Oryzias latipes: one gene and its partner. The protein of the gene in region 2 purifies or fractionates together with the protein of the main gene of each other region. This does not show direct contact. Links are inferred from orthologs where the notes say so. Each region holds a gene or a part of one and is shown on either strand. Other genes may lie near its edges.

Region 1 (3,500 bases), on a different chromosome or scaffold from region 2:
ATTCTTTCGATCCATTAAACACTTCAAGCTGCCATAAGATTGTTTGGCCACATCTAAGGTAACCATTTATTGCAAATTTGCTGTCTTTTGCGATATGCATATTGCACAGCTTGATATTGCGATAACGATAAATTTGCGGTATATTGTGCAGGCCTAAACCAGGTCAAACTTTGACTAATCAGGGACTTGGATTTGATGGTGACGTATGGATGGCGTCTCTTTTCATTAATTGAAGTGCCAACTGTTTGAAAATCGATTATGGAGGAGAAATTATCAGTTTCAGTTTGTGCTCGGATGGAATTCCAAAAGACCAAGTCTTTCATATTTTGGAATAGAGCTGTATTTCAAAATAGCCTGGATCAAGATTTGCACGATTTACACGCCGACATTTCCCACCAAGCTTCTTCCAAATGTAGGTGGCAGACATGCGCTAGTAAACAGCAATACAAGAACCACCATGGCCTAAACGCACGTTCATGCAAACACGGTGTGTCCACAGCCTCAGACCAAATTCTCACTTCTTTAATTAAATAAAAGAACAAAGCTCAGACTGTCCTTCTCCTATACTCCAAATGTAAACCCTAACTGCTTTTTGCAGGTGAAAGCTTGAGTTTTCACTTTACTTTTCTTGGGATCAACAGATACTTTGCCTTAATGCTTGACTTGACTTAATTGGCTGTTCCTCTCCAGTAAGGCTTCTCTCAAGTGTCGAGAGCTAAGGAAACAAAAGGCGTGTAATCCGCACAGAGGACGTGTGCTCTGAATAAAGCAGCCATGCAAACAGATGCGGGCTCATCCCTTCCTCATACCCAATGCAAACAAACCATTCTGGGAGATAAGCATTGTAAAACCCACATACAAAATGCTGTGTGTCTGTGACATCTGCCAGAGCACAGGTGGGTTATGGGCTAAAATAGGCCAAATCTGCATGTGATATGACTCACAGACTTCTGCCACCAATATGGAGCCAGTGTGGCTAAAGCTAATGTGTTTTTTGGCATCTGCTACCCATACTCCAGAGCAACTTTCAGTCTGAAAGCATGGTAATTGGGAGGAAGGGTGTTTAGTTCATATTATTATTCAATGAGCTTATTAGGAATTTCACATATTTATCCCCTTAAAAGTCCAGATGGGTAGAATTCTGAAGTGTGATTAGATCATTACAGTAATTAAGATTTTTCTATTAAAGAATGCCTGGTTATAGATCAATTTTTATGGCATACAAATTAGCACTACACAGTTTAAGTTATGCCTCCGCCTTTAAACGGATGATCTCTTATTTCCCTCCTTAAGGCCTCAAACCAAAGCTGAACTGAGAGCTCCCACTGTAATGCAGCTCTGAGGGGATGCTTGGTTTTTTCCATTTTATTTTGTGATTTGTTGCATTTAGGTTTTGATACTAGATGCTTTTCACTCTGTTATTTTTCAGTAAGGAAAAAAAAGACTTAATCAAAGTGGTTATTTTTCCTTAAAAACTACATTAATCTTTAAGACATGATTTGTGCAGAAGGATTTTATTTTTTATGTAATGTTATCTCAAGTAATTTAAAACTTGAAAACTGATTAAAAAAGGAAAGTTCGTTCACATCCTTTTTTTTTTTTTTTTTGCTTGGTTAAAAATGATGGAAAAGATCACAGAAGCCACAGAGCAGGAAAGTGAGTGCACCAGACAAAATGCTGAAAGAAAAGATAGTGAGATAAATAAATCAGAGAAAGGTTGTCAGGCTTACCTTTCCTGTAACAGCGGACCAGACTTTCAGCGTGTTGTCATCAGAGCCACTGACGATGCGGTTGCCGCAGAACTGAAGGCAGGTAATCACATGGTCATCGTGTCCTTTCAGCACCTTGAGATAAGGAAGACAAAAAGAGAGGTGAGAAAAATAGGATATTAGGAGAGGTGGATGAGGCATGGCAACGCAAATGACATGAGCAGATACAGCGATGAGTGTCTCACATCAAAGTGAAAATGAGGTAAATGTCTGCTGGTGTTGAAAGTGTAGCAATAGTGTCGTCCCCACTAACTGGTAGCAAGTGCTACTGCTAAATGAAAACAAACTAACTGCTAATTCAGGAAAAACAAACCCTTTTGGCCATTTCTTCCACCTAGCGTGGTTTAAGATTTAAGTCTTCAGTGCAGAAAAGTTTGACCCCGTTAAGGAAATGGGGTCAAACGGTTAGTGGTCAGTGTGAAAAATGATCCTAAAATGATGGTAATTAGATTCCTCCACACACACAAAAAAATAAAAATGTGATCTTCCAACAATAACAAAAGAACGTTGATACAGACGATCATTGTCAGAGTAGATTCTAAAAGACACTTAAATGCAGCTCTGTGAACAAACCTAACACATCTTCCAACCTGAACCCCTTCTGAAGGCATTTGGGCTCCTCAAAAAAGGACAACTATTACCACAAATTACTTAAATGAGACGCAAAATAAAACAGCTTTAATGAATGAAACATTTTGCCAAAAATATGCTGGCCATGCCTTTACGGATATTCCTTTTTGTGCTCATGTGAAGTAAAGATTTAAAAAAGAAGACACAAAAACAAAACCTTGCCCCGCTGGATTCTTTTTAAATCAGCATTGCCTGTGTATAAAGTTACTTTTCTTCCATCAGCTTTCCATTTCAAATACTTATATTAAGCATTTTGTGACTTTGTGATCTTCGTGTCAAAGATCCACTTAGCTGTGGGTAATTTCAAGTTTGCACAAAAGGTAATGTTGAGAAGATCCCTTCAGACAAAATAAAGAAATAAATGAGAGTACCTTTGGGGATTTGAGGTCTCCTCTCCTCCAGTTAGTGTCTATTCTGTGCTGCCTGATGTAGGCACTCTTCCAGGGGCTATGGGTAAAGCCAGCCTTGACATTTCCCCTTTTCTTTGGGGCCAGAGGCTCATCAATACCTGTGAAAAGCAAAACTGATTCGATTGACACAGTTTATTTTCCAATAAAAGAAGATTCTCTTTCCACTTTAAGCTTAACAAAGCATTTCAAAATTGGAGCTAAAATGGTTACAAAAGGCTTTAAAACAAATTACCCTCTTCTCTGCATTTTTCCCTCCACAGTAAGTTGTCTTCTGCTAGGATGCGCCAGTAGCGACACGTCTGTGCGGCCTGAAGGAGGTCTTTCGGTTCCAGGAATGACAGTACATACAAGGCAAGCTTTAGACAGACAGGAAACAGAGGGGGGTTATTGATAAAGTAGATCCATCTGCTGATGCACGTTTTAACTGTGCACATCACTGGAAAAAAATGACTTTAAGGAAAGTAATCAGATTAAAGTTGAAAAATCTATTAAAAAGAATTGCTGGTCCTGACTTGAATCCATACTTCTGTGTGGACAAAAGAAAATGTACCCATTTTTTCAATTAAACAGACACAAAAACCTGTTTCACAGACTTTTATGATCAACTTTTTTTGTACAACTTGGTATGTATATTATTTGCACACAAAAAATTCAAATTTTCCCAGATTGTAAAGCAGTGATTCCACTGTTG
Region 2 (3,500 bases):
AGGTGAATTTCTAATGAACTACTGCCGCTCTGCAGAAACTATGTCCTTGAAAATGACACAAAATGAAAATGGCTGAAAAGATGATTGGAGCGGGTATTTAAGGATGACGGACAGTTTTATATTAGAGAAATTCTCAACTAAAAAAACTTTTCAGCAAATAAAACTGCATCTGATCTATTTTATATATTTTTTTGTTATTATGTCATGTTTTTTTTTGTAGGATCTCTGTGAGCGACATGAAAAGGGCGTCCTCCATGAGCATCAAAGGGCTCTTCAGAAGTACGGCGTGATGAAGAGGCAGATGATGAGCGCCACTGTGCAGTCCAAGGAGCACGCCACAGTGGAACAGCTGGAATCACGAATCGTTCAGGTGAAATTTTCTCCAACTCTACCTTGTATAACCAGAGCTGTACTCATTTATTCTTCTATAAAGTAAAATATCCTGCTTTTTTCTTTCCTTTACTAACTAAAGACTAATTTTATAATTCTTGGTTTGACAACTTAGGGAAAAAAGTTGTTGATTTATTTATATAGGGGGTAGAAGGTCATTTTTGTTTATAACAATGTTGCTTAGTGCAGAAGCTTGGACCAAAAAGCGTTTTTATTTGATTTTTTTTTTTCACTGGTTCTTTTGTGAGAAAGGCCAAATAAATGTCTTTGTGGTGGATTTGAAGCTTTTTTTTTTCTTCTAAGAACAAAAATCCCCCAAACATTAAAAATGTGAAAACTCCCAAAACATAAAATGTTCTTTTTAGTTCCTTATAAATACTTTAAAGCAATAAAAAGGAGGTTATTTTAAAGAAACCAAAGCAGCCTTTTTGTGACCGCGTTAAAGCAAAGTCGCATTAAGAAAGTAATTAAGTTGCTGTTTGCTCCTGTACCCTCTGTGGTTTTTATCTTGGGGCCGCAGTTCCTTTTTATTTATTTTTTCACCGCGGTTTGGATGTGTTTGCCACACCGTCACAATTTCTGCATAGTTCCCCCTAACTGAGTTTGTACTTTTCTGACCAAACCAGCTTTAGCCTGAGGGCAGAAAATCCTACTGGATTCAAAAAGTAATATTAGAGCTGTTAATGTAGAAAACGAAGACAATAAGTTTTTATTTATTTATTTTTATTTGTGGAATTTTGTAAAATATGTCATGATCTGTTTTTAGTATTTTCTCTTCATTGAAGAGCTAAGATTAGATTAACATGTATATGTGCAACACTAAAATTATTGAAAAAAAATGACAAAATTGATCATATCACCTTAAAAAACATGATGCAAAAAAAAAAAAAAAAACAGACTGCAATTACTCTAAAAGAGTTTTGAAGGTTTGGATTTGGAAAAGGAAATATTAATTATACAGAACAACTAAATAAAATAAAGGAGGATACTAAAATAAGATTAATAGCTATAAAGAAATAGCCAAGGTGCTGTTTATTGGCAAGAAAGTCATGTAAAGTTGATCATTTGTAAGTGAAACTAATAAATGTAATGTAATAAAATTTAGAAAAATTATTTCTTTTAGAAATATTAAGTTTTTTTGCTACGGGTAAAAAAAATAGATTTTGTGTGATTTGCTAAATGTCAATGAGGCTGTCTCCTAGAAAACCTGCACAGAATAATAAAATAAATTAAAAAAAGGAAACATTTTGCAGGTTTGCTGCTCTCATGTTTTTAGTTGAATTGCCCATAGAGTAGGGGTGGAGCTATAACTGCCCCCCCTGTAAAAAGCTTTGCCCCCCCCCTCAATTTCTGAGTCAATATTAATATTATTATTGAGATAGATTAAGAAACGACCAATAGAAGCTTCTTTAAGTATTACAAGAATAACAAAAGCAATACTTTTGAATGAAAGAATTACATTAACAAATATAAAACTGTTTGAAATACGTGTTTTTGATCCTTTCATTTCATTCTGCCCCCCATCTTGCCCCACATATAAAATGTTCTGGCTCCACCACTGGATGGAGGTGAAAGAAAATCTCAACTTTTATAGTTTTTTTTTTTACAACAGAATTGATTAACAGGATTTTTGTGTCTTCTTTTGATAACATCCTCTTATCAGTCCTGTGTTTCTAACAAGCAGGATTAGCAACGGATTTCCCTTCTATTAGCATTTTATTCCTGATAATTTCTGTCATTTAATTAGTGCCAACCTTTTTTTTTTTTTTTTTAATGTTCTGATAATAGCAAGAAAGTGCCATTCAAACCATGGAGCTGCGCAACTACTTCTCCCTGTTCTGCCTTCATCAAGAGACGCAGCTTATCTTCACTTGCCTTCCAATTACTTCCCACATTCTCGGGGCTTTTGTTAGCTCACAGGTCCAAGGACACAAAGAGGTAAGGAGGCAGTCTGGGAATTCTTTTTATCCAGTTACTCACCTATAGTTTTACCCAGCAGCACTGCATGCAGGGACAGTCAGATCATCCATAACCTGACTTTAAAAAATGTTTTTAAAAAAAATGAGGGTTTGTGCAAATAAAATATTTTTTTGTTGAATTTGTTAAAAATATATGCTGAAATTGAGAAAATAAGAAAAATAAATAGACAGAGTGGTTTTGAAAGTTGCTTTTTGAAATATTAAATTTGTGGACCAAGTTGCAATATTTCATTGTTAACGATCTAAAGGGGAAGTGTAAATAGACATTTCTTTTTTTTACAGATGGGAGAAGTCTGGAATGAACTCCAGCCCAAACTGGGGTCTCTCTTTGCCAGTAAAAATGGACTGAAATCTTCCATCTGAAACCTTCATCATGCTGTGATGACTAGAAACACTCCCACATACGTGTAACGCACTTCATCAATTCCACTTTTCACTGAAGATCATCATTGGAGTCCTTTGGGCACTAATTTCCCACATTTCCTGCAAGAGTCACAAGTATTTCATCATGCGCTCTGGAATGAGATCAACAATTCAGAGTTTGTGACCATCAGCAGGCCAACAGGGATCCCCAACGCGGCATTTATACAACATTTTTATGAAGTACTTGATTGTGAATCTGAGTTTGATACACTAAAAGGATTAAGAAGACGAACACTGCAAAAATTGAGTTATTCACCTGTTTTCTTTATGCTTGTTGACTAACTTCAGAGTAATATAAAGGATTTTTGCTTCTAAAGTTATGTAGATGTTTCTTTTTTTGTGTTAGCTATTTTTTAATCTCACTGTGGAATATGTGAACTGCATAAATCTGCAAATGTTTTTTTTTTTTTTTAACTAAAACTACATTTATTATTCCAGTCATTTATTTGTGAAGAACAAAAAAAATGTATTTAGGTGAGTGGCAGAGGACTCAAACCAATTCTTTATCTTCTATATTTTGGCATGTCATCATAGCCTCGGGAAGCTGGATGACTGTAAAAGAGGATTCCACAAAGTTATAGAGGACAAGAAATGGCAACCTACAAAAAAATCTGCTGCTCCAGAAGCTAAGGCATGTTTTATATGTGAACATGGCAGGGAAAGTATTATGATGTGTTTTTTTGTGTCTCCTGACATAATTTGTTAAAG

Evidence for each region. Proteins that work in one complex are often made in the same cells at the same time.
Region 1: the proteins of snx8 (region 2) and fbxw7 purify together in Homo sapiens (affinity purification with mass spectrometry; 3 studies listed by BioGRID and IntAct, counting the BioPlex papers as one, with this or other methods). This does not show direct contact. The link is inferred for Oryzias latipes from reciprocal best matches to the Homo sapiens genes SNX8 and FBXW7.

Annotation. Positions count from the first base shown.
Region 1 is NC_019859.2:19,407,869-19,411,368, forward strand, and holds part of fbxw7 (F-box/WD repeat-containing protein 7), read right to left. Parts: intron 3,166-3,500; coding exon 3,042-3,165; intron 2,908-3,041; coding exon 2,771-2,907; intron 1,845-2,770; coding exon 1,731-1,844; intron 1-1,730. UniProt on the Homo sapiens protein: Substrate recognition component of a SCF (SKP1-CUL1-F-box protein) E3 ubiquitin-protein ligase complex which mediates the ubiquitination and subsequent proteasomal degradation of target proteins.
Region 2 is NC_019866.2:7,037,224-7,040,723, forward strand, and holds the end of snx8 (sorting nexin-8), read left to right. Parts: intron 1-220; coding exon 221-370; intron 371-2,178; coding exon 2,179-2,328; intron 2,329-2,651; coding exon 2,652-2,732; 3' UTR 2,733-3,195; downstream 3,196-3,500. UniProt on the Homo sapiens protein: May be involved in several stages of intracellular trafficking. May play a role in intracellular protein transport from early endosomes to the trans-Golgi network.